3 linked regions of the Macaca mulatta genome follow. The protein of the gene in region 1 purifies or fractionates together with the protein of each later gene. This does not show direct contact. Links are inferred from orthologs where the notes say so. Each region holds a gene or a part of one and is shown in the gene's direction. Other genes may lie near its edges.

Evidence for each region.
Region 2: the proteins of HAT1 (region 1) and ASF1A purify together in Homo sapiens (affinity purification with mass spectrometry; 4 studies listed by BioGRID and IntAct, counting the BioPlex papers as one, with this or other methods). This does not show direct contact. The link is inferred for Macaca mulatta from reciprocal best matches to the Homo sapiens genes HAT1 and ASF1A.
Region 3: the proteins of HAT1 (region 1) and ASF1B purify together in Homo sapiens (affinity purification with mass spectrometry; 6 studies listed by BioGRID and IntAct, counting the BioPlex papers as one, with this or other methods). This does not show direct contact. The link is inferred for Macaca mulatta from reciprocal best matches to the Homo sapiens genes HAT1 and ASF1B.

Annotation. Positions count from the first base shown.
Region 1 is NC_133417.1:76,836,623-76,847,344, forward strand, and holds the start of HAT1 (histone acetyltransferase type B catalytic subunit), read left to right. Parts: upstream 1-3,649; 5' UTR 3,650-3,715; coding exon 3,716-3,722; intron 3,723-7,080; coding exon 7,081-7,185; intron 7,186-10,722. UniProt on the Homo sapiens protein: Histone acetyltransferase that plays a role in different biological processes including cell cycle progression, glucose metabolism, histone production or DNA damage repair. Coordinates histone production and acetylation via H4 promoter binding.
Region 2 is NC_133409.1:23,856,644-23,867,324, forward strand, and holds the start of ASF1A (histone chaperone ASF1A), read left to right. Parts: upstream 1-3,874; 5' UTR 3,875-4,214; coding exon 4,215-4,323; intron 4,324-10,681. UniProt on the Homo sapiens protein: Histone chaperone that facilitates histone deposition and histone exchange and removal during nucleosome assembly and disassembly.
Region 3 is NC_133424.1:14,718,181-14,729,104, reverse strand, and holds the start of ASF1B (histone chaperone ASF1B), read left to right. Parts: upstream 1-4,425; 5' UTR 4,426-5,038; coding exon 5,039-5,147; exon of another isoform or gene 5,148-5,247; intron 5,248-6,490; exon of another isoform or gene 6,491-7,485; intron 7,486-8,726; exon of another isoform or gene 8,727-9,024; intron 9,025-10,229; exon of another isoform or gene 10,230-10,715; intron 10,716-10,924. UniProt on the Homo sapiens protein: Histone chaperone that facilitates histone deposition and histone exchange and removal during nucleosome assembly and disassembly. Cooperates with chromatin assembly factor 1 (CAF-1) to promote replication-dependent chromatin assembly.

The DNA of each region.
Region 1 (10,722 bases):
TTGGCTCACTGCAAGCTCTGCCTCCCAGGTTCATGCCATTCTCCTGCCTTAGCCTCCTGAGTAGCTGGGACTACAGGCACCTGCCACCACGCCCAGCTAATTTTTTGTGTTTTTAGTAGAGACGAGGTTTCACCGTGTTAGCCAGGATGGTCTCAATCTCCTGACTTTGTGATCCGCCTGCCTCTGCCTCCCAAAGTGCTGGGATTACAGGCGTGAGCGACTGCACCTGGCCTGATGACCATATTTTTTACGCCAAATTTTAAACTATTCTGGAGGTTTCAAAGCAAGATAGTGAAATTTATCAGTCCACGTGAACTTGAGCCTGTACCAACACATGGTTGCTGCTTCATACCTAATAGTGTAATATGGCCCTTTTCTCTGAAGAAAATGCCTTTGCCAAATCTCCCTTACTACAATAAATGTTATCATAGTAATACCACTTCATACCTACATAGAGTTTTAGAGTTTACAAAGCTCGTTCACAAATATTCCGTTTGGTTTTTACAACAACCCAGTGTGGTGACTGGGCAGTACTATTATCTCCACTTAATAGATGGAACAAGGTTGAACAAGCATGAAGTAGTAGAACTGGGACTAGTAGAGCACTAAATTTCCCACAAGATATGTTGTCTCTTCCATATATATGAGGACAGCATATTCCTTTTGTAGAAATTTTATTTATTCCATGATTGTAATAGTCACTTTCTTAAATTCCCTTTAGAACAAAGTAAAATATAAGTTAAAAAAAAAAAAAAGAAAAGAAATCCCTACAAAAAAAGAGAATGTTTTTTCCTTTTGGATAATTTTACCACTACCTTTCCAAAATAAGTCATTCTTTTATCTTCTAGGTAAACTGTACCAAAACATCTATTCTGTAACATTAAAAAAATATATGTGAGGATGGACGTGGTGGTTCATGCCTATTATCCCAGGATTCTGGGAGGCCAAGCTAAGAGGATTGCTTGAGGCCAGGAGTTTGGGACCAGCCTGAGCAACATACTGAGATTCCATTTCTATCAAAAAACAAAAAAATTAGCTGTGCACAGTGGCACACATTTGTAGTCCTGGCTATTTGGGAAGCTGAGAGGCAGGAGGATCTTTTGAGCCCAGCAGTTGGAGGCTGGAGGCTGTAGTGAGCTATGATTGCATCATTGCAATCCAGCCTGGGTGAGAGTGAGACCCTATCTGAAAAAAAAAAAAGTGAACCTCTAATACGAGGACAATATAAAACCTCAATTTTGCAAGCAGATCACATTAAATGCTAGTCACACAATGTATCAGTAAGTTTCATCATATTTTTTCCCTACAACCATAATATCACAGGACTAATAATCTGTGATATACCACAGTTAAAATGTAATTCTTCTTGATTTCTTACTTATAAAGAACATAATTGCTTTTGATCAGCAATTGATCCATAGATACGGTGATTTCAGAAAGAAATGATGAGTCTTGCCGTTTTGAAAAGAAAAGATTTTTTTTTTTTTTGAGATGGAGTCTCGCTGTCTTGTGCAGGCTGGAGTACAGTGGCGCTATCTCAGCTCACTCCAACCTCTGCCTCCTGGGTTCAAGTGATTCTCCTGCCTCAGCCTCCCAAGTAGCTGAGATTACAGGCGCATGCCACCAAGTCTGGTTAATTTATTGTACTTTTTAGTAGAGACAGGGTTTTACCATGTTGGCCAGGCTGGTCTTGAACTCCTGACCTCAGGTGATCTGCCTGCCTTGGCCTCCCAAAGTGCTAGGATTACAGGTGTGAGCCAACGTGCCTGGCCAAAAATGATTATTAAAGAAAAAGATTGTTTTCCTTTTTTGATCCATAATGTCATTAGTCCCATTGATTTCAGTTTTCTGTCTTAACATTATGACTGTAATTTCTTGTGTATCATTAGGTTTCAAGAAAAAGGATCTGGCCGGGCGCCGTGGCTCACACCTGTAATCCCAGCACTTTTGGAGGCCGAGACAGGCAGATCATCTGAGGTCAGGAGTTTGAGATCAGCCTAACCAACATGGAGAAACCCCATCTCTACAAAAAGACAAAATTGCCAGGCGTGGTGGCGCCTGCCTGTAATCCAAGCGACTCAGGAGGCTGAGGCAGGAGAATCGCGTGAACACGGGAGGCGGAAGTTGTGGGGAGCCGAGATTGTGCCATTGCACTCCAGCCTGGGCAACAAGAGCGAAATTCCGTCTCAAAGAAAAAAGAAAAAGTAAAAAAGAAAGAAAGAAAAAGGATCTGGGCATTCTCAGTACCTTTTCTGATCTTTATCTTCGGGAAAGCCATCTCTGTATCGTTCAGCAAATAAATACTGGGCTGAGTATCTGATGAACTGCACTCTGCATAGGTTGCATTCTGAGAGAGAACTTGGGCAGTTTATCTTTTCTGGGATTTGGTTTCCTTATCTCTAAAATGAGAAGGCGTGTTACTTCTAGACCATCATCCCAAGGGTCCATTTTAGCTTTAGCATGCATCAGTGTAAAACCTGTTAACAAATATTTGTTGAGACAAGGAATTCTGGTGTATAGCCAACATTGTGGGAATATTTGTGGATACCTAAACAGTGCTTTATCCTCTGGGCAAAACAGTTCCAACAGCTACTAAATACTAACAAGGCCTACGGCTAAAATCAGGTAGCACCTTGTGATGTAATTCAAACCACTAGAACATGTGGCATGCAAGACTACATCAGGCCACTTAGGTATTTATTAGTTAACAATTTATTTATTTATTTATTTATTTATTTATTTATTTATTTTTGAGACGGAGTCTCACTGTCTCCCGGGCTGGAGTGTAGTGGCGCAATTTCGGCTCACTGCAACTTCTGCCTCCAGGGTTCGAGCGATTCTCCTGCCTCAGCCTCCCGTGTAGCTGGGATTACAGGCGCCCGCCACCATGCTTGGCTAATTTTTGTATTTTTAGTAGAGACGGGGTTTCACTATGTTGGCTACGCTGGTCTCGAACTCCTGACCTCAGGCAATCTACCTGCCTCGGCCTCCCAAAGTGTTGGGATTACAAGCGTGAGCCACCGCGCCTGGCCTAGGTAACGATTTTTCCGCGTTAAATGATTGCCTACTAACCTGAAGAGTGAAAGCAGAGTACCTAAATATCATAGTGTATACGTTAAAAACAGGGGAGAAAGGAAAAAAGATGTTAAAGTTTACAGCAAAATGAGAAACAAAGGAGGAAAATAAGTGAAAACTTCTTCCGAAACTGAGACTCAACCTCTACATTTTACCCTAGGTAAAATCTTACCTAGGGTAAAATTGCCCACAGGTCTCAAGTGTTTGGATGCACTGTCCAGGCCAAGAGGAAAGATTTTCAGCCAGTCTCCAAAACATCTCAGGGACGGGTAAGGAAAACAGGCGTAAACTGTCTGTATTGATCAAATCAACCCCAGAGAAACTTTCCTAGGTCCGGAGAGCATCTCAACCGCGAAGGTTCATTTGCGGCCTCCTTCTCCACTTCAGGCCTGCAAAGCGGCCGACAGCATTCGCACTGGCTAGGCAATTCGCACAGCTAACGGCCCGTGCAGACTTCTCCGCGTTAGCCCCGCCTCCTGAGGCGCTTCCGCCGCCGGGCTCCTGGACACGCCTCCTTTAATTGGCTAACGTCACGCTGGGAGTGGGCGGGGACAATGTGTCAGACTGTGCGGTCACTTCCGGCCCGGGAGCGCGCGGGTTGATTCGTCCTTCCTCAGCCGCGGGTGCTCGTAGCTCGGAAATGGCGGGTAAGTTCCCGGGAAAAGTTTACCAAGGGGAGGAGGCGGCCAGATCTGGGATAGAACGCTGAGACGGTGGTGACAATGCCCGCCTGGAACTTTCGGGCTGTAGCCTGGGTTCCAGAAGGCCTGCTTGGGACCGGAAGCGCGGAACTCTCAGCCCAGCAGCTCCCTGTTGGCCGCGGTCCGCGCCCCCGCCCCCAGCTGCTTGGGGTTCTGCGCCTTTTGCGAGCACCCCGGCCCCTACCGAGGGCCGAAGAGGCCGGGGGAAAGCGTCAAGATTTGAGCTTGTAAAATGCCACATGCCTTGGGGCCTGTTTCTCTTCCCATTCCTTTTGTCCACTGCTGCTTGCTTCAGATCTTGTACATCTGGTCCTGTTCCCGCCAGCTGATTTTAATGCTCAGATCTCCTCCTCTTCCAGGTCTCCGTCTACCTTCCAATACAGTCAACTTCTGAGCTAGCGCATTGCTGACTTGCCCTGCTCTAGCGCTCCCACTTGGATCTCGACTGACTTCATAATCGTCTCCTTAATCTCTCACACTTTAGTATTCCGAGGATCGTATTTAGATGCCTTTTGAGAAAGACTTTGTTCCTGAACTCCTCCCTTCTCTTTTAGGGTTGGACTACTATAATACAATTCTCTTGAGTACATTCTAGCGTCCCTTCAACTTACAACATTTAATAATGTATAATTGCTATTACTTTGTACGTGTATTAAGGCTGTTTTGGTGTGATTATTTTTTTCGATTACTTATCTTTTGAAGTTATGGACAGTTTCTTTTTCCTGAGACAGGGTCTCTCTGTCGCCCAGTCTGGAGTGCAACAATCATAGTTCCCGGCAGCCTCCAACTCCTTCTACGCTCAAGCTATCCTCTTGCCTCAGCCTCCCGAGTAGCTAGGACTACAGGCATGCACCACAACATTCGGCTAAAAAAAACACTTTTTAAAAACCTTTTAGAGACGGGGTCTGGCTGTATTGCGTCAGGCTGGTCTGGAACTCTTGGCCTCAAGCCATCCTCTCGCCTCTGCTTCTCACAGTGTTAGAATTACAGGATTGGGCCACTTCGCTGGCCTCTGTTGCTTTTATCATCTCTTTACAGGGCATTCCTCGTAGTCTCCATTTTTATGGATATGTGGGATAGATGAGCTGTTGTGTGAGCTCTAGAGATGTTCAAAGAAGGACTTTTTACCAGATAGAAATTGTAGGATCTTGAAGTACAACAGAAGAGGGAGGACATACGTTAAGAATTACATCTAAATTCGAATTTGGGGCCCATCATTTAGTAGTTGGATGCCCTTCAACTCAACCTCTTTCTAAGCCTGAACTTCTGAATATAAAGTGGAGTTGATATAATACCTACTTACAGAATTGTGCGGATTAAGCTAATATATGATTTCGCAGGTTAAATTTTGTTGCTTACATTCCTCGAAGTAAATTCTGTAATCTTAGTTCTGTAGATTAGGGTCAGCGGGATTAAGTAATGTACTCTAGTTCACTGAGCTCACTAGCTCAGTAAGTGTGTGAAATAGTCAGAATCCAGAAATTCTGACTCCAAACTATTAATCTATACTGCTTCAAGTCTCCCATTTTCTGTGTGTGTGTTTTAACCCCTTATTGAAGTTCATAGCACATCTAGCACATCATTGTACCCATTTTTACTTTTTGCTTATGGCTTTTTTCTGCCTGAAATTTTACTAATTTTTTTTTTTTTCGGAGACTCTGAGTCTTGCTCTGTCACCAGACTGGAGTACAGTGGTGCGATCTCCTCAACCTTTGCCTTCCAGATTCAAGCAATTCTTCTGCCTCAGCCTCTGGAGTAGCTGAGACTACAGGCGCGCACCACCACGTCCAGCTAATTTTTGTATTTTTAGTGGAGATGGGGTTTCACCATGTTGGCAAGGATGATCTCCATCTCGACCTCGTGATCCCCCTGCCTTGGCCTCCCAAAGTGCTGAAATTACAGGCGTGAGCCACCGCGCCGGGCCCATTTTTTTTTTTTTTTTTTTTTTTTTTTTTTTTTTTTTGAGACAGACTCTCGCTCTGTAGCCCGGGCTGGAGTGCAGTGGCCAGATCTCAGCTCACTGCAAGCTCCGCCTCCCAGGTTTACGCCATTCTCCTGCCTCAGCCTCCCGAGTAGCTGGGACTACAGGCGCCCGCCACCTCGCCCGGCTAGTTTTTTTTTTTTGTATTTTTTAGTAGAGACGGGGTTTCACGGTGTTCGCCAGGATGGTCTCGATCTCCTGACCTCGTGATCCACCCGTCTCGGCCTCCCAAAGTGCTGGGATTACAGGCTTGAGCCACCGCGCCCGGCCGCCGGGCCCATTTTTACTAATCTTTATATTCATTTTGTCAGGAGATTTGTTACCTTGAAAGTTTCTTTTGATAGTGATATCTTCTAGTGTTATTTATTATATATATTATTGAGTAACCACTTTGTAGTAAAACTACTTTATTGTGCCAGTAGCTCACAGTTTATGACTTTAGGCACACATGATTTTTAAATATTTAATACAGTGGAAAGATGTTTTCTTTGTGCCCCTGTTCCTCTTCCTTCTTTCTTACCTAGGGTAACTGTGGTTACCAGATATTTGTGTATTCTTCTTGAGACATTCCATGCATTATCATTTCCTTATCTGAAGCACTCTGGTAGACTTTTTCCAATACTTAAAATGAAGTACTGTCATAATTATCAGAGGACATTCTCATTTTGCTTTTTACATCTTATAATGAAAAAGACGACTTAGGTATAAATCTTAGCAGATTATTTGTATTAGTAAATGTTCAGAAATGTTAGTAATCTATCATGTTAATTTTCAGGTTTATTCATTTATATTAAGTATGCCTAGTTTATAAACTTGTATCTCAAAAGTGATTTCTTTTTCTGTTTTGTAATGAGGCACCTTTTTTTTTTTTTTTTTTTGAGACGGAATCTTGCTCTGTCGCCCAGGCTAGAGGGCAGTGGCGTGATCTCAGCTCACTGCAGCCTCTGCCTCCCGGGTTCAAGAGATTCTCCTGCCTCAGCCTCCCAAGTAGCTGGGATTACAGGCACCTGCCACCGTGCCTGGCTAATTTTTGTATTTTTGGTAGAGACGGGTTTCACTATCTTGGCCAGGCTGACCATGAACTCCTGACCTCATGATCCACCCGTCTCGACCTCCCAAAGTGCTGGTATTACAGGTGTGAGCCACCGTGCCCGGCTGGCATTCTTAATACATTTATTTAAGAGTATGTGGAGAATGACTTGTGCTTTTATGATCTGTCAGCATGTTTTAAATCATACCCCTATTCCACTTCTAATAACCCTATTGTAAGTTGGACGATTTAAATCACTTCCAATTAAACGTTTTAAAAACCTTTTCTCTTAGGATTTGGTGCTATGGAGAAATTTTTGGTAGAATATAAGAGTGCAGTGGAGAAGAAACTGGCAGAGTACAAATGTAACACCAACACAGCAATTGAACTAAAATTAGGTATGTATGCCATTTCTAAGTAATATTATGTACATACTGTGTGTGTATATATAATCTTTCATTTTAAATTTGAAGTAAAATTTTATGTAAGAGCAGTTATTTATGCAAATGTATAGTTTTCTGCATTTATTGAACATACTCAGATTTTATTCAGTCTTGATTTATGTCATGGAAGGGGTAGACGTTTGAAAGGTGACAGAATTTTATGTAAAAAGGAAAGACGGTGGGGCAAAAAGTAGTAAGTATGTATAGTTTCAGCTTCTTAAAAATATTTTTAACGTTTTTGCCTGTAAGAATAATAAACAATAGCAAACATTGGTGAGGATGTAGGAAAAAACACTTGTATATTGCTGGTGGGAATGTAAAGTGATACAACTACTTGGGAAAACAGTTTGGCTCTTTTCTTTGTCTTTTTTATTTTCTTTCCTTCCTTCTCTTCTTTCCTTTCCTCCCCTCCCCCCCTTTTTTTCTTTCTCTCTTTCTTTTTTAAAGAGACAGGGTCTCACTCTGTCACCCAGGCTGTAGTGCCATGGCATGGTCATAGCTCACTGCCACCTCCAACCCCTGGCATCAGGCAATCCTTCTCCCTCAGTCTGCCAAGTAGCTGGGAGACCATAGGTGTGCACCACCCAAGCCTGGCTAACTTTTATAAATTTGGTTTTTTTTGTTTTTTTTTTTGAGATGGAGTTTCGCTCTTGTTGCTCAGGCTGGAGTGCAGTGGTGCAATCCCAGCTCACCGCAACCTCCACCTCCTGGGTTCTAGTGATTTTCCTGCCTCAGCCTTCCAAGTAGCTGGGATTACTGGCATGCACCACCATGCCCGGCTAATTTTTTGTATTTTTAGTAGAGACAGGGTTTCTTCATGTTGGTCACACTGATCTCGAACTCCCAACCTCTGGTGATCCGTCCACTTCGGCCTCCCAAAGTGCTGGGATTACAGGCATGAGCCACCACTTATAAATTTTTTCATAGAGATGGACCTTACGTTTCTGTGTGTCCAGGCTGATCTTGAACTCTTGGCTTCAAGCAGTCCCCTGGCTTGGCCTCCCAAAGTGTTGAGATTATAGCTGTGAGCCACAGCACCCCTCCTGGTTTGACAGTTTCTTAAGAAGTTAAACATAGATGAATTATATGACCCAGGAGTTGTACTGCCAGGTATCTGTCTACGGTAGAGAAATGAAAATGTAGTTCATGCAAAAACTTGTACATGAATGTTCATAGACGCATTATTCACAATAGCAAAAAAATGTAAAAAACCTAGATATATATCAGCTGGTAAATGGATATAGTATAGCTATACTATGGAATAGTATTTGACAACAAGAAGGAATGAAATTCTGATACCTATTGCAATGAACCTTAAAAAGATTGTGCTAAGTGAAAGAAACTAAACAAAAACACTATATATTAAGTAATTCTGTTTGTATGAAATGTTCAGAAAAGACAAATCCATAGAGACAGAAAGTAGTGGTTGCCTGGGGCTAGAGGTAGGAGCACAGAGTAACTACAAATGGGCCTGACGTTTCTTTTGGGAATGATGGAAATGTTTGAAAGTTAGATTGTGGCACAGCTCTAAATTTGCTAAAATTTTACACTTAGAACAAGTGAAAAATAATATATGCTCATGATTCCTGGTTGCATTACTTTCTATGCCTGAATTTCCTCATTGTTAATAGTACTTCACAGTAGTTACAAAGATTAAATATGGAGTTAAATGCCAGTAAAGTGTTTAAACTCCTTGACATATAGAAAATACTTGATAAGGGCTGAGCAGAGTGACGACGTGGTTGCTGGGATCTCTGTATTTTTTACATATCCCCTCATTTTGCGATTACTTCATTCTTTGATACCTTGATTACCTTGGAACATCCTGTCATCTGTTATCTCTGTCCCAGCCTTGGAATCAGCCATTTCTCCAAGGATCCCTAGTTTCTTTTAGTAGGAAATGTCATTTTATTTTATTTTAGAGAGAGAGTCTCACTCAGTCGCCGAGGTGGAGTGCAGTGGTGCGATCTTGGCTCACTGTAACCTCTGCCTCCCGGATTCAAGTAATTCTTGTGCCTTAGCCTCTCTAGTAGCTGGGATTATAGGCATGTGCTTACCAGGCCCAGGTAATTTTTTTGTGTTTTTAGTAGAGATGAGGTTTCGCCATGTTGGTTGTCTCAAACTGACCAAGTGATCCACCTGCCTCGGTCTCCCAGAGTGCTGGAATTACAGGCGTGAGCCACTGCACCCAGTCAAGAAATGGTTTTGGTTTTGTTTTTGTTTTTGTTTTTGTTTTTTTTGAGATGGAGTCTCGCTCTGTAGCCCAGGCTGGAGTGCAGTGGCGCGATCTCGGCTCACTGCAAGCTCCGCCTCCTGGGTTCACACCATTCTCCTGCCTCAGCCTCCCAAGTAGGTGGGACTACAGGTGCCCACCACCGCGCCCGACTAATTTTTTGTATTTTCAATAGAGACGGAATTTCACTGTGTTAGCCAGGATGGTCTCGATCTTCTGACTTCATGATCCACCTGCCTCGGCCTCCCAAAGTGCAGGGATTACAGACGTGAGCCACTGCGCCCAGCCCGGAAATGGTTTTTTATTTTGAGATGGAGTCTCACTCTTGTCACCCAGGCTGGAGTGCAGTGATGCGGTCTTGGCTCACTGAAACCTCTGCCTCCTGGGTTTAACTGGTTCTCGTGCCTCCGCCTCCCAAGTAGCTGGGATTACAGGTGCCTGCCACCACACCCAGCTGATTTTTGTATTTTTAGTAGAGACAGGGTTTAAGCATGTTGGCCAGACTGGTCCCGAACTCCTGACCTCAGGTGATCTGCCCACCTTGGCCTCCCAAAGTGCTGGGATTACAGGCATGAGCCATCACACCCATCCACAGGAAATGGTATTTAAAAGCCAAGATCTGGGTGCTGAAGCCAAGATCTAGGTGCTAGATGAACTCATTGCTGTTAGTATTGCTCTAACATTAATGAGAGCAGGCTTAGGAGATAGAACTTTGTTCCTTACCATTCTGTCCCTGCCACCTGCAAGGTGACTACAGTCTCATTTCTTTGTCCAAAATTAGCTTTCCATGTTCTAGCACTTTATATAAATGGAATTATACCATATATACTGGCTTTGTGACTGGCTTGTTTCATTAAGCATAATTTTTATGAGGTACATCATATGTTGTCTGTACCAGTAGTTCATTCCCCAATATTTTTTTTTTTTTTTTTTTTTTGAGATGGACTCTTACGCTGTTGCCTGAGAGTACAGTGGCATGATTGCGGCTCACTATAATCTCTACCTTCTGGGTTCAAGCGATTCTCCTGCCTCAGCCTCTGGAGTAGCTGGGATTACAGGCGCCCGCCACCATGCCTGGCTAATTCTTTTGTATTTTTAGTAGAGACGGGGTTTCACTATGTTGGCCAGGCTGGTCTCAAACTCCTGACCTCATGATCGCCTGCCTCGACCTCCCAAAGTGCTGGGATTACAGGCGTGAGCCACCGTGTCCGGCAGTTCACTCCTTTTTATTGCTGAATACTGTTCTGTTGTTGGATACA
Region 2 (10,681 bases), on another chromosome or scaffold:
TCCAGAAAATGATAGCAATCTATTTTTTCTACATACGAAGCCCACTCTAAAATTTACCTGACATGGTGGAGAGTACAAAGGTAGGACAGTCATCAGAGGAACGGGTTTCTGAGCACCAGCATCCTCATTTGTTATATGGGATGATATCTTACCCTCCTACCATTCCTGTTTGTGAGGCTCAAAAACATAGGTATTTTAAAGTTTTTTACAAATGGTCAAGAAAACACTTTTTCTTTTGCCTATTTTAACATAACTGGTTACAGGTGCATCTAACACTTCCTATTCTGCATCATACTTATTTGATTAGTTACCTTTCCTACTGAACCATAAGGTCTTTGTATGTCTTTGACTATTTCTCATAGAGCCTAGCATAAAATTTTCACACAAAAAATGCTCTCTGTATGTATGTAAAGAATTATTATTGAAATCATTATTGTACAATTTACTCCATTTAGAAATGTCCATGGACTCCATCAAATCTCTAGTCTACATTTATACAGAAAATTTTATTTAAAACTATCATTAAATTTTGACCTATTTCTAATAAATAAAAAGGAGCCTTTTAAACTAACTAAAGACCATATTAAAACAAGCCTTACATGAGAAAAATTTTTAAGTTGGTAATAATACAAATGAGAAGATAATTCAACACAGTGATAGTATAATTACCCCAGGTGGAAATCTAGATTTGAACAAAAGCTAGAGATTAGTACTTCCATTCCTATGATAACTTTTGCAGTAGGCAGGGGCTGACACTCAATTTAATTCCTAGTTCTAATATATTTTAATTCGGCACATTTTGATTTAATTCAATTCTAGTATATTTGAATTCGCTCTTTCATCTCGTTTTGTGTATGACCTCAACTTGACTTCAAGTTTCACTTCTCTGTAGAAGAGTCGTGAATCCATGCAAGGAAGCTGCATCTTGTGTCTTCAGAATTCAAGCTATATGCCCAGTGGTATATACTTCCTCTAAAGAATGGCAACAGCACACCACTCCACATATGCCACACCCTCACTGGCATGGCTGAACGACCACGTCATTTCACCCACAGGAAGTGTTTGGGAACTGATCAATATTTGGATTCAGTAAGATTATATTCTCAAATAAGTTTAGTTCTGAGGGGAAAAATATCTTACAACTATATTAGGTTGTTAGAGTTGCCATAACAAAATCTCACTCACTGGGTGGCTTAAACAATAGAAATTTATTTTCTCACAGTTCTGGAAGCTAGAAATCCAAGATCACAGTGTTGGCAGGTTTGGTTTATTCTACAGCCTCTTTGCTTGGCTTGCAAATAGCCACCTTTTTGCTGTGTTTCCTCTATGTGCGTGTGACCCTGGTGCTTCTCTGTAAATCTAAATTTCCCCTTATGAGGATGCCAGTGAGATTAGATTAGGGCCCACCCTAACCACCTCATTTAACTTAATCTCCAAATACAGTCACATTCTGAGGTACCAGGGATTAGTCCTTCAACATACGAATTTGGAGGAGACATAATTCAGTCTAAAACAACAAGTAACTAGTTTCATTTATTTTTGCCCTAAGCACTAGCTTAGGCTTTGTTCATCTTAGAGCTGATAAAATCTCTCTTAGCCACCATCCTTCCCCCAAGTAACCCATAGTGAGAAGCGACTGGAGGATTACATTCCATGCAGCCCTCCAAACATCATGTGGGACCCCCTTGGGTACTTAATAAAGGAAGATATTCACAGTGACCCATCTGTTGTACAATTAGCTGTTTGGGAGTCATCAAAGTTGTTCAGCAACAGGTCCTATTGATTGCCTCTGAAACCAGACAGAGGCTTTCACAATTCTTTTTTTCCTACAGCATACCAGTTAAATTAGAAATATGCCAGGAGATATCTGAGGAATCCTTTTGGATCTCTCCTGGAGTAAGGTAGTGTCAATGGTGAGGAAACTATTGAACAAAGTGTTCAACGACCCTTTAGTATTTCTGACAAGCAATAATACAAGAGTTAAGACAGGAGAAGCCTGGAGCTAATTCTTGCAGCTTCCAGTGAAATGTCGGGGAATCTTTTCTTCTTAAATACTGTTGTATATGGTATATGACGTGTTAAACGAAAAGTTTCAAAGAAAATAAGCCAAATTAGTGGTATCCAGGTAGATCTTCTCAGTCCTTCATGCTGCACATCCACCAAAAGTGAGTTTTATAACGAGTCTCACTGTAACACTTACGGTCAGACTGCAAAATGCACCTGATTTTAACAAGCATAAAATGTCATTTTTATGAGAATGACTAGACTCTCCTCTTAAGAGTACCTGTAATAATCACAGAGCTGCATACACCAGTCTCACAGGAGTTTTAATCTTCAAATGGTCATTTTACCTTACACATACAGAGTGTCTTACAGCATATAGCAATTTCCACTTTATCTTAGCTAGTGTTAGAACCAGCACCAATAACAATGAAGAGTATATGGTTTATCAGTCACAAAAATCTGTGTCTATCACCATGGTTTGACTCTTAATACTCTAATGTCACAAACAACTGGCTTGAAGAAGTCTTTCCTGGTAGGTCCTATATCTAACTGTTCAATCCATGACAAAAAAAGGGAACTCTTCCCCACTCTAACTGGTCTTCCTAAATGTAGGAGGGGCTGACATTAGCTGTCTCACATTAACTTTCAAAAGACCATCAGATGAAAACGTTTCATCAAAAGCCACCTACTTAAGTATGAACAATGCCCAAAGAATGACAAATCAACATTCTGGGCACTATCCTAAGAGAAAACTCTTCCAGAGCAGATACTTCAGAATTAATTTTCTCTCTGAATTTGGCCAAGTTTGGTGGTTTCATTCACAACATTTAAGGAAAAAAGTGACGGTTTATGGATAGCAGGTAATAAAAACAAATCTTTATACCACTTACTAGTAATAGAAACGGTTTAGGCTCACAAATGTGTTAAAGCTTTCTCTTTCCCCGCAATGGTAGTCAAACAGCATAAACGAATCAACATTTCCTCAGTTCAGATCTCAACTGGTTACAGGCAAGCAAGGGCTCCTCAGAATTTGCTTTACTAATGGTTTAGGTCAGAAATTTTTTTGAAGATCAAATGTCTTGCTATGTCTTCGTGTTCTTTTCCCCATCTCTATTATGTGTGTTGCCCTGTTGGTCTCCTGACACTTCCATTTTCTCCTTTTATGTTCCTGCTATGCTCTCCCAATGGCAGTAACCTAGGGTATAACTGATCACACCTCTTGTGATTTTTTTCTTATTCTAGGACTTTCCAGATCTGGACTCCGAAGAAGACGCCCAGGTGTAAGCCCAAAGGTTACCTATTTAAATTTTCCAAGCACAGTGTGTGGAAAATCATTCCTCGCCCTTCATTTTGTGTTGCTTAACGGCGCTGTCGTGCCTAAACGTAGATACTGGCCAAGAGCTAGATTTCCAAAATGGCTTTGCTCCTTTCGAGCTGACATCGGTCTATAACATGCAATTTATTTCCCCTGCAGGCAATCTTTTTCTCTACTCCAACTACTACCCGATACACAGAAAGCTGAACCTAACCCAGTGTAAACACCGATTCTCATCTGCTAAATTCAGCAAGGCCGGCAAAGCTGTTGCAATGATGTAAAAAGAGCGTTAAAAAATTAAAAAAAAAAAAAAAAACACAAAAAACCACAAAAAAACAAAAAACGCCAAAACACCCACACGAAGCCAACCGGAGGGGCGGGCGTCGGCCGAATCGCGCCCTCCCGCCGCGGCCACGCCTCCCCGCCGCGGCCACGCCCCCGCCGCCCCTCTCCGCGCCGCCGCCGGCGGCCTCCGCGCGGGCCTCCCAGCCCTTATTCCACTCACTTTGTTCTCCGCCTTTGTCCTAATCCACACCAGCAGGTGGAGCCGCAGTTAAAGTTTCCGAGTCCATTCCGGGAGCGGGAGCCCATCTTGCTGGCTGCCGAGGCCCTCGCTGGAGGAGGAGGGTCAGAGCTCGGGTGCAGCCAATCGAGGGCAACGCTGCTACTTATCAGAGCAGAATGGGCTGTAGTTTAGTGAAATAGGAAAGCTGCAAAACACTGTGGAGTGCTCCCGTGTAAATAAAAAGAGGAAAAAAAAAGTTTCTCAAGTCGCCGCTGCACAACGTCGGGCCGGCGCTGGGGCGGGGGTCTGCGCTCTCCCGAGCGGCCGCGCGCTGGACTTTATTGTGCCGCAACCAGCCCCAGTTCCCATTGTTTGTGTTTTTTTCAAAATATGGCAAAGGTTCAGGTGAACAATGTAGTGGTGCTGGATAACCCTTCTCCTTTCTACAACCCGTTCCAGTTCGAGATCACCTTCGAGTGCATCGAGGACCTGTCTGAAGGTGAGTGCGGCGCCCGTGCGCCCGGGCTGTCAGTTGCGGGCTGCAGACGTTGAAAGTTTCCCGGGCCCGGCCTCGCGCTGGGCGGCTGTGTTCGGCGCCTGGCGGCCGCGGGCTGCTCTGCGGAGGGAAACTTCAAGTTGATGGTCGACGGCCGCCGAGGCGCGCGCGGCTTTCCGCCGCAGCCCAGGCGCCTGCCGGGCTCAACTTGCGAGGAACTTGTTTGAGCGGAGGAAGCCATGTTGTCAGCTTTGTCTGCGGGCGGGCAGCTCGGAGACCCGCACTCGCGCCCGCGGCGCCTCCTGGGGTCGCGCCGGGCTGGCTTAGCGCCGCCAACAGCTTCCGCGACCCTCCGGGCCCGGGCACGGAGGCTGGGAAGGGAGAGGCTGTGCGTGTGGTCGCGCCGGCGAGTTCGGAGCGGAGCCATCTTACCCCAGTCGAGAATTGGGCCAGCGACCCCGGCGCACGGCGCCTCTTCTTGCCCCTTCGCCCGCCTGCCCCCGGCGAAAGGGAGGCAGTAACTCTCGAGAGCTCACGGTGGAGTCGCCGCACTCTCCGGGCTGGCCATGCCTGGCCGCTTCGGGGAGGAGAGCGAGGCTGTCCTCGCGCTGATTTCTGGCTTCCTCGACCAACCAGCGGGGGAGGCGGGCGCAGGCTCGGCCCCTCCGCGCCGCGGGCTGGGCGCCGGCACTCCCCGGGGGCCGCGGGTCCTGTTCGGCCGGTCCTCTTCGGCCGGTGCCCGGGATGCGCCGGGATGCTGGCGCGCAGGCTCCCCAACCAACGTGGACTCCTTTCCCCTAATGACGAAAAGCTAATCTCAGGAAGAGAGAGAGAGCTGAGCTAGGAAGTTACATTTAACCTAAGAGCAGAAATAAGATACTTAAATAATTTCCAGGACTTAATCTCTGCCTTCTAAATAGTCTGAAAGAAGACTTTCTTCAAGAGCGTGTTGAAATGTAAAATAACTCCACATCCAGATGCAGAACACACCCTAAACATAAAACACAAACGTAGGCTAGGAAATTAAGGTAAACAACTCATGTCAGTCCAAGAATTCCTGGTATTTTTTCTACATATATTTTAAGGTCTTAAAAATACGTATTCTTAATATGTTTAGTAATAAATATTTAGAAAGCTAAAACAACAATTATCTTTGCTTTAATTATATTTTACTAAAGTAATTCAGTACTTCATTTGCCAGTTTTGAAGGGGAAATAGTTTAACTTCATCGATGAGGGGCATACTTCTTTGAACTAGAAGTGTATTTTTAAAATGCTCTGAAGATGATTTGGCTAATCGTGGCATGTAAAACTTTTCATTTTAAAAACTAGTTTTTAATCTCTAAAATGTATGTATCATATGTAAGGTTAATTTTAATTATAAAACAATATATATCATTGTAATAAACTTTTAGAAAGTTGTACAGGCATATATAAAGTTAACAGTTCTCTGTACTCAATGCCTTCCCCTATCTCCTTTAGGTAATCACAATTACTACTTTAACATGTGCCCCTCTGTGGGGTTTTTTTTTTTTTTTTTTTTTTTTTTGGTAAACCTATATAGAGTATAAATGCACATACATATATAGGGCAAATTTTGAAAGATGATTCATTTATTAAAATAATTTCAAATAGGCCATTGATAACACTTAGGGGTATTTTTCTTATTACTCTGAAGTCATCTGTATGATACTACTATTAATATAAGCATTGCAGCTACCAGGCCCATTTTTCACACCCAACAGTCAGTAATTTTTTTTTTTTTTTATTGCCAACTGCATATAAAAATAGACAAAAGAAAAACCATTGATCGGTCCATTCCAACTTACACCACAGTGTTTTTCAAGTATACCACCAGAAGTTCTTCAAATTACAGGTATTTCTCAAGTGATGCCTTCCATTTTAGGAGTCAGCTCTGAACAAAGAAGATAGATGACTCAGGATGTCGTTACAGGGCTTTTACATTGCATAGATGAAACCAGCCATTCATAAAGCCAAAACAGGTTCCATTTTTAACTGGGATCCATTCAGAACCCAGCTGAATCACATCAGGGTTTTACAGTACTGGTATCAAAAATATACTTATTTCCAATGGTATATTTCACTTCCTAGGCACCATTACTGAGCATTTATTTAGTATTTTAAAAAATATTTTAAGCTGAGTCATACTGAAGCTGCAAAGGAATCTTTCAAAAAGGTGCCATGCCTGTATACTCCACCTAGAGGCTATGTGGATTAAGGAAATTGAGTTTACTTAGCAAAGGCTTCTTATAGGTTCCATACTTTTATATTATAGTTCTTTTAAAAATTCTGTTCTTAAACTATAGAATTTTTTTTTTTTTTTAAATGAGACAGTCTGGCTCTGGCACTCAGGCTGGATGGAGTGCAGTGGTGCAAACACAGCTACCTGCAGCCTCAACCTCCTGGGCTCAAGCAATCCTCCCACCTCAGCCTCCTGAGTAGCTGGGACCATAGTCAATGTGCCACCACACTGGGCTAATATTTTAATTTTTTGTAGAGATGGAGTTTTGCCATGTTGCCCAAGCTGGTCTCAAACCCCTGGGCTCAAGCAGTCCTCCCACCCCTGCCTCCCAAAGTGTTGTGATTATAGTGAGCCCACTGCACCCAGCCCAAACTATAGAATATTTTGAAAAGAATTTTCTTTGTAAGTTATTTTGCCTCAAGTCTCAAAGCAGAGTTTGGCCACCATTTTTCATACTTTCGTCAATAGCCCCCAAACATTTACTTTTCTTTAAGAGCTGCTCTGTAGCTTTGCTTCAGAAAAAGCTGTGAGGAATATCTGGTCTTAACATAATTTGATTCTTTCTAATATAGGGCTTATATCAGGGGTTAAGACAGCCTGAGATCCTGGCTGGATGTGCTTGATGGTTACCAAGCCTGTACAAGTTTTGATTGACCATCCTGCCATTCTTAAATTTACATATAATCTTAATTACAGCTACTCTCAATTGAATACTTATACCAGAATTGAGCACGGTGTTTCAGACTTTCCAGCTTCAGCTTGTTCTAATTCCAAAGCCTACATACTTTCCACTAGACCACAGGTCTTCCCAAGTAGTGTAATTAGCTAAAAATTCCCTTGATGACTTCCCTCATTCACTCACTCTCACCACAAATGGAAATACTTTCAGGCTGGGTAAATCATTTAATCATGATTACTGTGATTAAATAAAAGTTAACGTTAAAATAAATGAACAGATTTCTTCACCTGAGAACTTATGTAAAGCATCTGACCTTACCTTTTCTCCCTCAAATACAGGGGGCAGAGGAATTAAATGAAAGCTGGGTTTAAAAAAAAAAACTGATGCTCATGTATAAAAAAGTACTGAGCATGTAAAACTCAGTAACTATAGCAAGCATCCCATAAACATAAAAATCAATGTACAAGTGTTCCCTGAGTTGCAGCCTATTCTTGTTAAAGCAAGATTATCTCACCATCGCCTCTGCTCTCACTTCCCCTGCAAATAAATTCCCTTATTCCACTGCTAACTTCAGAGCTAGAAAGAATTTATCTTATCTTCCTAGTTAGCTTTTCAGAAGAAGCCCGGGGTTTGTAGGCATAGCTTGGATTCTGATTCTTTGATGTACAAACTATGAATTTGTGTAGATTACTTTACTTCTCAGAGTCTCAACTTATTTGCATAATGGTGATAATTTGATCCATATGATGAAGCTGTTGAGGTTTAAACAATAGGTATGAAGTGGCAGGACTAATACCCAGCATATAGTAGGTATGTTCTAAAATAGGTTTATAAATTATGGCTGTGTTCCTATGCCAGTCCACAAATGCCAATTTATACCACTTAGGATCCAGGGGCGTTATATGTAGTGGTACAATTATATATAAAATTAAAATTTATGAAAACCTTTATGTGATAATTTTTCTCTTTTTTTGGAGACAATCTTGTTCCGTTGCTTAGGCTGGAGTGCAGTGGCGCGATCTCGGCTCACTACAACCTCCGCCTCCTGGGTTCAAGCGATTCTTGTGCCTCAGCCTCCCGAGTAGCTGGGACCACAGGCATGTGTCACTCCTAATTTTTGTATTTTTAGTAGAGATGGGTTTCACCATGTTTGCCAGGCTGGTCTCAAACTCCTAACCTCAAGCAATCCAGCCACCTCAGCCTCCCACAATGCTGGGATTACAGGCGTGAGCCACTGTGCCCAGCCACTCTATGTGATGATTCTTAGTCTTATCCTCACTTGGCTAGTTCAGTGCCTTTCACACCACTTGCTTAAAACAGTTTCTTCACTTGCTTTTTGGGTCACCTACCTCATTTGCCACTTGTTTTGTAACTTACTTTGTTTATTTGTCCTCTTATCTTTGGAGGTCTTGAATCTCATTCCTTAGAGCAAGCCTATGTATTTTTACGGCTTAACATATCATTGACAGTTTCCAAATTTTTATCCTGCCTATTCAGTATCTCTACTTAGATAGCAGACATCTCAAATATGTCTAAAATGAACTCCTGATTGTTCCTCCACCCCATGTCACCCCCCTGCAAAAGTGGCTCCTGCTGCTTTCATCTTAAGAATTGTATCCAGAATATAACTGTTGCACAGCCCCATGGCCACATGAGGTCCATGCCACTATAATTTCTTGCCTCAATTGTTGAAATATTCTGTTTCTTCCCTGTCCTCTTACATTCTATATTGAACACAGCAATCAAAGCATTCCTTTTAAAATGAAAGTTGGGGCCAGGCGTGGTGGCTCACGCCTGTAATCCCAGCATTTTGGGAGGCCGAGGTGGGCGGATCACGAGGTCAGGAGATCGAGACCATCCTGGTGAACACGGTGAAACCCCATCTCTACTAAAAATACAAAAAAATTAGCCGGGCGTGGTGGCAGGCACCTGTAGTCCCAGCTTCTTGGGAGGCTGAGGCAGGAGAATGGCATGAACCTGGGAGGCAACGGAGCTTGCAGTGAGCGGAGATTGTGCCACTGCACTCCAGCCTGGGCGACACAGTGAGACTCCATCTCAAAAAAAAAAAAAAATGAAAGTTGGCTCCTGTTACTGCTCTGCTCAAAACCCTCCGATGGCTTCCCATGCCACTCAGTGTGAAAGCCAGAGTCCTTATGATGGCCTTCAAAACCGCATGATCTGGCTGTTCCCCTCATCCTCAATTATAGGGTTAGTTGCTTTCCCCCTTGCTTTCATTCTGTTCCAGCCCTGGCCTCCTTGCTTTTTCTTGCCAAGTGTACCCTACCTCTGGCCTTTGTATTTGCCGTTCCCTCTGATGAGATACTTATATTGTCTATTTCCTCTCTATCTCCATCAACAGATGATCTCAGGAGATGTCAGATGCAGCACCCTGCATCTGGAAATGTGCTGGAAGCTGGAAATATAAATGGTCTAGTTCTAGGACAGAGCCATGACATAATAGGTCCTCAGAAAGTGATTAGTGACTTAATAAGAGAAAATAAAAAAGGACCTTTCAGTTGATTGTAGTTTACAATACAATATAAATGAGCAGTACGTTACTATTTCTATTATCAACTTAGGGAACAAAATTATCTACAGTTACACAAAAACGGCAACACATGATGGCACTAACTAGATTGTCATAAGTGACCCAGAAACTCACCCTTTGGGAGTGCTTATGTAACAGTGTGTTGAATGCAAGAGGCAGGCCCCACAGTGCAAAATACGTAAAGAATATGAAGAGGTCTCTCAGAGATGGTTTGTATTACAAAGTTATCTTCTTCCCCGACTAAACAGGAGACTCCTCCAAAGAGTTCTACTCATCTCTGGGTTCACTTCACAGAACACATTGTAAAGCATGCTCAGTAAAATCTACTATATTGAATTACATGTAACGCCTTGAGTTGCACCTGAATGAATGTCTTTTCCTCCTGCCTATCTCCGCTGTGTATACTCTATTGTATCACGTGGTGTAAAGATCTTGGTTTCCTCTTCCCAATTTAAAGAATGTACGACACGGGGGTGCCATAAGGGAAAAACCCCATCGTCATCCTTTAGACAGTTGATGAACTGAAGCCACTTACTTCTGAGCCACAAGGGAGGTTTTACTAATAATTTTTCTACTTTGGAGCTCTGTGATTATTTAGATCTCTGCAACATAGTATAGGGCTGCCCTTCCAAAGTGTGTTGAGGAGGACATTAAAAGATGACATACAAAAAAAGGGGATTCCATAGCCAAATAAATTTGGGAAATGCTGGATTAATGTTACTGGTATTCTTTACTGAAGGATGTCTCAGAAAATTTACTATGCCAGTGTGCTTTATGAATCCTCAAGGTTTACAGCATTTCCCAAGTGTTTGGCTATGTTACCTTGTTTGTGAGGCACTGTCTAGGAACTAGTGTTTCACAAAAGAATATTT
Region 3 (10,924 bases), on another chromosome or scaffold:
GCTAAACTCACCCTTTACATAGATTTATTGATTTATTTATTTATTTATTTATTTATTTGAGATGGAATCTTCCTTTGTCACCAGGCTGGAGTGCAGTCGCGCAATCTCAGCTCACTGCAACCTCTACCTCCCAGGTTCAAGCAATTCCTCTGCCTCAGCCTCTGAAGTAGCTAGGACTACAGGCACACGCCACCACGCCCGGCTAATTTTTTTGTATTTTTAGTAGAGACGGGGTTTCACCATGTTCACCAGGATGGTCTCGATCTCCTGACCTCATGATCCGCCTGCCTCGGCCTCCCAAAGTGCTGGGATTACAGGCGTGAGCCACCGTGCCTGGCCAATTTTTTTGTATTTTTAGTAGAGATGGGGTTTCACCATGTTAGCCAGGATGGTCTTGATCTCCTGACCTCGCGATCTGCCCGCCTTGGCCTCCCAAAGTGCTGGGATTACAAGCATGAGCCAGCGTGCTCGGCCAAGAAAGGGTACTTTAAATAGGGTACTTTGGGAAGTCTTCTTTCAGAGGACATTCGAGCTGAACCACAGCGAAGAGAATGAGACAGCCATGCAATTATCCGGAGGAAGCACATTCCAGGCAGAGGGAACGGCAAGTGCAAAGCCCTGCGGCAGAAATAAGCTGGGTGTGTTGAAAGAAGGGGAATAAAGCCAGCTGGGCTTGAAAGCAGTGACAAGAAGAATGGTAGATGAGGCCTGAGAGGTCAGCTGAGGCTACCACGCAGGGCAGCCTAAGCCATAGGAAAGATCTTAGGTTTCATTCTAAGTAGGATAAGCCTTTGAAGGTTTTAAGCAGAGTAATGACATGATCTGGTTTACAAGTGAAGATCATTCAGCCAGCTGTAAGGAGAATGCATCATAGACAGGGCCACTTTCTTCATTAGCGCCACGGAAATAATGCTGGTGGCTCATGAGCTTCTCAGGGGCTATGAAAAGGTCAGGGATAGGGATAAAGGGAAAAAAGTTCCACAATGCAAAGATAAAACTACAAAGTTGGAATGAATAAATATTTAAATAAGCATCTAGAAATATGACATCATGACAACTGCATTAATCATTAAATTTAGTATTCATAAGCAATCGAATTACATTTGGAAATTAGATTTTCTCAAATCACAAATATCCCCAAGTATGCAACGATTGCCAAGAAATCAAAGGAATCATAAATGTGAGCTTCCTTGAAGCCAAATAATTTCAAAAGAATATTAAAAAGCTTTCAATTTTTTTTAACAGCTAAAAAAATTTTTTCTTAATGTGAGATGTACACACCAAAAAAAATGGGCTAGGCGCTGTAATCTCAGCATTTAAAGACAAGATAGGTGAACTGCTTGAGGCCGGAAGTTTCAAGAGCAGCTTGGGCAACAGCGAGACCCTGTCTCTACAAAAAATTTAAAAAGTAAAACAGGCAGGGCATGGTGGCTCATGCCTGTAATCCCAGCACTTTGGGAGGCTGGGGCGAGTGGATCACCTGAGGTTAGGAGTTTGAGACCAGCCTGGCCAACATGGTGAAACCCCCATCTTCACTAAAAATACAAAAATTAGCCAGGCAAGGTAGCGTGTGCCTGTAGTCCCATATAGTCAGGAGGCTGAGGTGGGAGAATCGCTTGAAGCCAGAAGCAGGAGGGTGCAGTGAGCCGAGATCGCACCACCGCACTCCAGCCTGGGTGACAGAGCAAGACTCCCTCTCAAAAAAAAAAAAAAAAAAAAAAAAGTAAAACAAATCAGGCATGGTGGCACGCACTGGTGATCCCAGCTACTTGGGAGGCTGAGGTGGGAGGATCACTTGAGCCCAAGAGTTCCAAGTTACAGTGAGCCATGATCATGCCACTTCACTCCAGCCTGGGAAACAGAGCTCTGTTTAAAAAAAAAAAAAAAAATCCCACAGGAACTGGATTGTTTCCAGAGGTGACTAGGTAAGAAATACTAGTGCCTTTGATCAGTGCTATTCAGGCTTACGGCCTGTGATTTTGAACACTGTCCAGGGCACCCTTAGAAAGCCCTCTCTGGGGAGAGGACATTTGAACAGAGACTTGAATGACGAGAAGGCATAAGCCAGCCAAGAGCCCAGAAGAAGAGGTTCTGGGCAGAGCTTTGCACTGGGAGTGGCCTGTCAGATTTTTAACAAAAAGAGGGTTACTTAGGCTGGTTTGAAATTGGAGCTAGGTAGTTAAGAGGAGACAAAGCATAGTTTCGAAGACAATGCTCTCATCCTGAGAAGTGACCTGGTCAAATGTGTTTTTGACCTTCACTGTCCAGTAATACAGGAGCCACTTGTCACAGGGGTTCAGGAGCACTCAACTGTGGCTATCAAGACACCTAAACTGAACTTTCTTTTCTAAAATTTAATTTAATTTTTTTTTTTTTTTTTTTTTTGAGACGGAGTCTTGCTCTGCCGCCCAGGCTGGAGTGCAGTGGCCGGATCTTAGCTCACTGCAAGCTCCGCCTCCCGGGTTCACGCAATTCTCCTGCCTCAGCCTCCCGAGTAGCTGGGACTACAGGCGCCCGCCACCGCGCCCGGCTAGTTTTTTGTATATTTTAGTAGAGACGGGGTTTCACCATGTTAGCCAGGATGGTCTCGATCTCCTGACCTCGTGATCCGCCCGTCTCGGCCTCCCAAAGTGCTGGGATTACAGGCTTGAGCCACCGCGCCCGGCCTAAAATTTAATTTTAATTTTGAGAGACAGGATCTCACTCTGACACTCAGGCTGGAGTGCAGTGGCTGGAGCATCCTGGGCTCAAGAGATCCTCCTGCCTCAGCTTCAGGAGTAGCAGAGACTACAGGTATGCACTACCACACCTGGCTTATTCTTTTATATTTTTGTAAATATGAGGTCTTGTTATGTTGCCCAGGCTGATCTTGAACTCCTGGCCTCAAGAAATCCTCCATGCCCAGCCTCTAAAATTTAATTTTTTTAAAAAAAAGTAAATCTTGGCCGGGCGCGGTGGCTCAAGCCTGTAATCCCAGCACTTTGGGAGGCTGAGACGGGCGGATCACGAGGTCAGGAGATCGAGACCATCCTGGCTAACACGGTGAAACCCCGTCTCTACTAAAAAATACAAAAAAAAAAAAACTAGGCCGGGCGTGGTGGCTCACGCCTGTAATCCCAGCACTTTGGGAGGCCGAGGTGGGCAGATCACAAGGTCAGGAGATCGAGACCATGGTGAAACCCCGTCTCTACTAAAAATAGAAAAAATTAGCCGGGCGCAGGGGCGGGCGCCTGTAGTCCCAGCTACTCGGGAGGCTGAGGCAGGAGAATGGCGTAAACCCGGGAGGCGGAACTTGCAGTGAGCTGAGATCCGGCCACTGCACTCCAGCCCGGGCGACAGAGCGAGACTCCGTCTCAAAAAAAAAAAAAAAAAAGTAAATCTTAAATTAAAAAAAAAAAGATATGGCTGGGTACAGTGGCTCATGCCTGTAAACCCAGCACTCTGGAAGATCAAGGCGGGCGGATCACTTGAGATCAGGCGTTTGAGACCAGCCTGGCCAACAAGGTGAAACCCGGTCTCTACTAAAAATACAGAAAAAAATTTAGCTGGTTGTGGTGGTGGTCACCTGTAATCCCAGATACTCAGGAGGCTGAGGCAGGAGAATCGCTTGAACCCGGGAGGTGGAGGTTGCAGTGAGCCGAGATCGCGCTATTGCACTCCAGCCTGGGTGACAGAGCGAGATTCCGTCTCAAAGAAAAAAAAAGTGGTTTCCAAAAAATGTAAAATTAGGTGCGCGGCTGGCATTATTTTTCCACTGGGTAGAGCTGATCGCCCGTGGGGGCAGAGACTCTGCGACCTGGAGTCTCCCAGGCCGGGGGCGACGGGATGCGGCGGAGAGAAGTTTCCGGATGTATTGTGCGGTCATGAATCATGTCAGGGAATTGCCACTGCCCCCGTTGAATGGAGAGACGCTGCCTCAGGAGCTGAGTAGCAGAGCCCGGACTCGAACACTGGTCTGCCCCCGAACTGAAACTCCCATTTTCAGTACCGTCTGCTTGAAACCTTCCAAGAGCCCTTGAGGGGGCGAGAGCGGGATCCAAACCCCTCGGGGGCGAGAGCGGGATTCGAACCCCTCGTGGGCGAAAGCGGGATCCGAACCGGGCTGGACTCCCGAGGTCCCAGCGCGCCGCGTGACCGCCACTCCGAACGTTCGCAACGTTCACAACGGACTCCAGGGCCGCTGGACCTCAAGGGTCAGGAGCCACTCAGAAAAGCTCCAGACTACGCTCACCTGTTGACAGACGCTGAGGGCGCAACCCTCCTCCTCTTTTTTCACACTCGCCAGCACCGCGGCGGCGCTCGACTTCCGCTTCTCTCCAGCGAATCCCCAGCTGAGCCTCATTCTGCTCCCGGCACTATTACCAATCCAGCCAATCAACTCTCAGAAAACCCTCTTTATCTCCGCCCCACTCCCTCCTGCCAATCACTGAGGGTGCGAGCACCGCCCTTCCCGCCTTCTTTAGCGAGCGCCGCGCGCCACCGCTCGGCGGTTGGCGGCGCTGCGCGGTGCGGGATGCAGCTCCCGGAAAAGCGAGGCGAGGGGCGGGCTACGCCGGTGCGGGAACCCTCAGGATTGGGCAGAAGGAGTCCGGCGCTCTGACTCCGTCCACTCCCGCCGTTGACATCCGAGTCGGAGACGCTGGGGATTGGTTCCCAGCGGACACGCTAAGAAGCCTGGAGATGGTTTCGCCCTCCTCACACGCCGCGGAGAGGGAGCTCCGCTGATTGGTCCGGGGAGTCTGGGCGCGCGCCGACTGGCGCTCCAGGATTGGCTGAGGGGGTGCGCGCGCCGCCAGGGGAGCGTTGGCGGTGATTGGCCAGAGGGCGGAGGCCGGCTATTTGAAGGCGGTCCGCGGTTTAGGTGCGCACTTCAGTCCGCGGAGGGAAGAGGCGGGAGTGGACTTGGTCTGCCGTACCCCACTGACGCCCCCCCACTCACCGGACCCAGGCGCGGCCTCCGCCACAGCCACAGCCCTGCCCCTGCCCCTGCCCCTGCTGCGGCGCGGCGCGGCGCGGCGAGGCGAGGCGAGGCGAGGCGATGGCCAAGGTGTCGGTGCTGAACGTGGCGGTCCTGGAGAACCCGAGCCCTTTCCACAGCCCCTTCCGGTTCGAGATCAGCTTCGAGTGCAGTGAAGCCCTGGCGGACGGTGAGGCTGGGCCCGTGCGGGGACCCCCACCCCCGGGCCGACCCCGGCCTCCCCTTGGAGAAGCGCTCCCATGGCCAACTTGATCTCCCCCATGAAACCCCTCGTCCCCTTTCCGCCAATCCCGATCTCCGGGTGGAGACTCCCCGCCATCAGCCAACTCGGACCTCCCCGTGACCTCCTCTCCCACTGCCCGCCTTGACCTCCCGGGTGGAGACCCCCAGCTAGCTAACTCGGACCTCCCCGTGACCTCTTCCCCCACTGCCCGCCCCGACCTCCCCATAAAGATTAACCCCAGTCAAGCCCCACTTCCCGCGTGGGAAACCTCATCCATCTTTTTAATCTGGAGGTCTTCCTAGGTACCCGTTTTCATGGAGAGATCTTCTTGGCCTCCATTTCTTAAGCCACGGAGATCTTCAGCCACCGTGATTTCCCTGTGGCAAGACCCGCGCTTTAGCCACCCACCCATTTTTGCCCACTTATTCCCTCTTTAGTGAGATACTCACACCTCCCATTTTCCCTCTGGAGACTCCGAATGTCCAGCCCCTTCCCATTTTCCCCGGGGGAAATCCTAGCCATCTGCTATTTTCCCTATGGAGATCTCTCACGCAAGCTCCTTTCCCTCCTCACCGTGAAGACGCTCCCCACCAGTAACCGTTTTTCGCTGTGAAAACCCCTCAACCCCTTTTCAGGACCGCCCTCGCCCCCATCTTCCCATTTGTCTCCCACCAATCCCCTCCCCAACCTGCCAATATTTCAACAACCCCACCCGCACCAGTTGCTGTTGCTTTTCTGCCATTGCACATACCCTGGAACCTGGTTCCTCCTTCGTTGGGGCCCAACCCCTGCTATGCTTGAGCTCCCCCTGGGAAAGGATGCTACCGTCTTTGAGGGGAACTTGGTCTCCCCAGCTCCCCTTCCCCACCCTCTTCTGTGGACTTGGATAAACACACTGAGATCTGAGGGCTGGCATAGCCAGGCAGGTATTAGCTGCTTCTCCAGGTTTGCCCACCCATTTCCAACTGAGTTACTACAGCAGTTCTTCCCTCGCTTTTTCTTTCTTCTTTTTTTTCTTTTTTCTTTTTTTTTTTTTTTGAGACAGACTCTTGCTCTGTTGCCCAGGCTGAAATGCAGTGGCACGATCTCAGCAATTCTCCTGCCTCAGCCTCCCGAGTAGCTGGGACTACCAGCACCTGTCACCATGCCCGGTTAATTTTAGTATTTTTAGTTGGAGGCAGGGTTTCACCACATTAGCCAGGCTGGTCTCGAAGTCCTGATCTCAAGTGATCCACCCACCTTGGTTTCCCAAAGTGCTGGGATTACAGGCGTGAGCCACCGCGCCCGGTCTTTTTTTTTTTTCTTTTTTTTTTTTAATATAGCTGGATAATCAGTGCCAAGCTTCCATTGCTTTTGATGGTCTGACCTAGTCTGGAGGGTGAGTGGGTTGGGCTGAGCTGTGACAGGCTCCAGCTTCAAACAGTCACCTGGAGCCCGGAGGTCACAGCCTCCTGTACATCTTTTCCAAGGTGCTTCTGCAGATGTACTTGTTAATCTGTGTGACTTAAAGGTGGACATGGCTCTCATCTCACAGATGAGAAGACAGGAGCCACAAAGCGCAAAAGACCTTTCAAGTCAAGGCCTGTACAAATCCAAAATCTAAGGTCACCCAGGGAGCCTTGGCACCACTAAAATGCAAGTCCTGCTTTCAGAAAGAAGTACTCCATTAGGCCATTTTTCTACTTGGTGGTTAAAAGAGAAAAGGCAGTAGCCGAGGAGGTAGCGATCTGGGGGCCTGTGAAGCCAGGATGTGCTAACTAGTGCCTTTCGGGGGCAGGTGGGTGTTTGGCCCTCAAAGCTGGTCACCTGGACTAGCTTGGGGCTGATAGAGTGAGATGTGGATGTGCTTCGGGTAGGCCAGTGGGTCTCTCTCTCCCCGGTCTGTCTTGCTCCTTTTTAAATTAAGCAGTCTACTTGTGGCTAACTATAGAATAAGCCGAGTTAAATCCTTTCTGGAACAGGGCAGCGTGTAAATAAATAAATAAAGTGTAGAATGACACTGTGGAATAAGATTTAATTTAAAAGCCAGGAGGAAATGGAAGGAAGTAATAGGTTGAGGGATTCCCAGCTCCCAGGCGGCAGGAGATCAGGTTTCAATCAGCCTGTTTGTGTTCCTTGCATTTAAAAATGGTTGTGTGGTCATTATCTGGTACTTCTCCTAGGAAGCCCCTGCCCTGTGACTTTACTTATTTATAGAATTAGAGGCAGAAAGGCTAAATTCAACCTGCTGCTCCTTTTTTTGTTTTTTTGGAGACGAAGTCTCACTCTCGTCCCCCAGGCTGGAGTGCAGTGGCGCAACCTCCGCCTCCCGGGTTCAAGCAATTCTCCTGCCTCAGCCTCCCGAGTAGCTGGGATTACAGGTGCCTGCTATGACGCCCAGCTAATTTTTGTGTTTTTGGTAGAGATGCGGTTTCACCATGTTAGCCAGGCTGGTCTCGAACTCCTGACCTCAGGTGATCTGCCCGCCTCAGCCCCCCAAAATGCTGGGATTACAGGTATGAGCCACCGTGCCCAGCCTCTGCTGGTCATCTTTTAATAGAAATGGAGTGATTTATCCAGGGTCACCCAGCCAGTTTGTAGAAATATTGGCACTGAAGTTTTGAATCTAAGTTCTTTATCTTTGCTCCGATCCAGGGAAAGAAAGGAAGAAGGATTCCCTATTTCAGAGGTGGAGCATAGATAGGAATGACCATACAATTTATTGCCTAATCAGGATACTCAAAACACAGTAAAGGGGAATGCTATTATTATTATTATTATTTTATTTTATTTATTTTTTGAAATGGAGTTTCACTCTGTCACCCAGGCTAGAGTACAGTGGCGCGATCTCAGCTCACTGCAATCTCCACCTCTTGAGTTCAAGCGATTCTGTGGTCTCAGTCTCCCAAGTAGCTGGGATTACAAGCTTGAGCCACCATGCCCGGCTAATTTTTGTATTTTTAGTAGAGATGAGGTTTCACCATGTTGGCCAGGTTGATCTCAAACCTGACCGAAAGTGATCTGCCCGCCTCAGCCTCCCAAAGTGCTGGGATTACACTTTGAATCACAAGCACGCGGCCAGGGAATGCTATTGTTAATTGCACCCGGATGATAAAGCTTTTCCTTCAAGAAACTCAAGTGAGAAATCCTGGCTCTTCCAGTCCTAGGGCTCTCTGTGACTGATCTGCCAGCTTGCTTTCTGCCTCTTTCTGGCCTCCTCTCCATGAAAAAGAGAATCTGGCTCACTCTCAGCAGTGTCAACTGAAAATCTTGACAAAACCCCCAATCCAGCTGTGCGAGGTGGCTCATTCCTGTAATCCCAGCACTTTGGGAGGCTAAGGAAGAAGGCTCTCTTGAGCCCAGGAGTTTTAGGCCAGCCTGGGTAACATAGCAAAACGTTGTCTCTACAGAAACATCAAAAAATTAATGGGACTTGGTTGCATGTGCCTGTGGTCCCAGCTACTGAGGAGGCTGAAATGGGAGGATTGTATGAGCCCAGGAGGTCAAGGCTGCAGTAAGCCGTAAGCCATGGTTGCACCACTGTACTCCAGCCTGGGTGAGAGAGCAAGACCCCATCTCAAAAAAAAAAAAAAAAAAACCACCCTAACTCCTAAGCCCCAGTTGAGTGACTCCTATTTCTCAAGGGCCTCAAGCCCCCTTTGCACTTTTATCTTCCACATCTGGAAATAGATGCTTCCATGTTTAGCTGAGAAATTCAACAGACACTGGTTGAGTAAGTCATAGAAGCCAGATGTTCTGACCCAGAACTAACAAAGCTGTTATGGCAGCAGGACTGATCTTTGATTATGAACAAAGGCAAAAAAAAAAAAAAAAAAAAAACAGGCTGGGCACGGTGGCTCACGCCTATAATCCCAGCATTCTGGGAGACCAAGGCAGGTGGATCACCTGAGGTCAGAAGTTCAAGACCAGCCCAGCCAACATGGTGAAACCCCATCTCTACTAAAAATACAAAAGTTAGCCAGGCTTGGTGGTGGGCGCCTATAATCTCAGCTACTCGGGAGGCTGAGGCAGAAGAATTGCTTGAACCTGGGAGGCAGAGGTTGCAGTGAGCTGAGGTTGTGCCACTGCACTCCAGCCTGGGTGACAGAGCAAGACTCTGTCTCAAAAAACAACAACAGGCCAGGCACAGTGGCTCACGCCTGTGATCCCAGCATTTTGGGAGATCAAGGCAGGCGGATCATCTGAGGTCAGGAGTTTGAGCCCAGCCTGGCCAATGTGGTGAAAACCTGCCTCTACTAAAAATACAAAAGTTACCTGGGAAGGGTGGTAGGCGCCTGTAATCCCAGCTACTTAGGAGGCTGAGGCAGGAGAACCGCTTGAACCCGGGAGGTGGAAATTGCAGTGAGCCCAGATTGCGCCATTGCACTCCAGCCTGGGTGACAGAGTAAGACTGTCTCAAACAACAACAAAAACAAAAAAGCAGGAAGCAGACTCTTTAGCTAGTTCAGCTACAGTAATCATGTACGTGTCTTTAGTCTTATCATTTATATATATATGTACACACACACATACATACACACACACAGTGGAGGTATGTCTTGTACAGGGACTAGCTTGTGAAGTTAGCGCAGAGAGATAACATGGAACACAGTTGAGTTGCCTTGACATTGCTCAGAAGGTTAGATACACACCTCATGTGTACAGCTGTGTCCTGTACACAGTAGCTATGAGTTCGTGCTGTGTTGGTGATTTGTGTCCCATGTATAATTCTAAAGAAAGATTATATTCAGAAATGCAATCATACACATATGTCGCTACTTACAACACTGCAGCCCGATTTTTTTTCTTTTTTTTAAAAGAGATAGGGTGTTGGCCGGGCACAGTGGCTCATGCCTGTAATCCCAGCACTTTGGGAGGCTGAGGCAGGCGGATCACGAGGTCAAGAGATCGAGACCATCCCAGCTAACACAGTGAAACCCCGTCTCTACTAAAAATACAAAAAATTAGCCAGGCGTGGTGGCGGGCTCCTGTAGTCCCAGCTACGCGGGAGGCTGAGGTAGGAGAATGGCGTGCACCCGGGAGGCGGAGGTTGCAGTGAGCCGAGATCGAGCCACTGCACTCCAGCTTGGGCGACAGAGCGAGACTCCGTCTCAAAAAAAAAAAAAAGAGAGATAGGGTGTCACTATGTTGTCCAGACTGGACTTGAACTCCTGGGCTTAAGCAATCCTCCCACCTCAGCTTCCTAAGTAGCTGGAACCACAGGTGCACCTAACCATGCCTGGCCATTTCAGCAAATGTAAGATGATTCTTGGCCAGGCATGGTGGCTTACGCCTGTAATCCCAGCACGTTGGGAGGCCAAGGCAGGTGGATCACCTGAGGTCAGGAGTTCGAGACCAGCCTGGCTAACATGGTGAAACCCCGTCTGTACTAAAAATACAAAAATTAGAATTACAGGTGCACACCACCACACCCAGCTAACTTTTTATATTTTTAGTAGAGATGGAGTCTCACTGTGTTGCCCAGGCTGGAGTACAGTGGCGTGATCTCAGCTCACTGCAACCTCTGCCTCCCAGGTTCAAGCAATTCTCCTGCCTCAGCCTCCTGAGTAGCTGGGACTACAGGCGCGTGCCGCCACGCCTGGCTAATTTTTTGTATTTTTTGTATCACTGTGTTGCCCAGGCTGGGCTCGAACTTCTGAGCTCAAGCAATCCACCCGCCTCAGCCTCCCAAAGCGCTAAGATTACAGGCGTGATCCACCACGCCTGGCCCTATAACTTTTTTC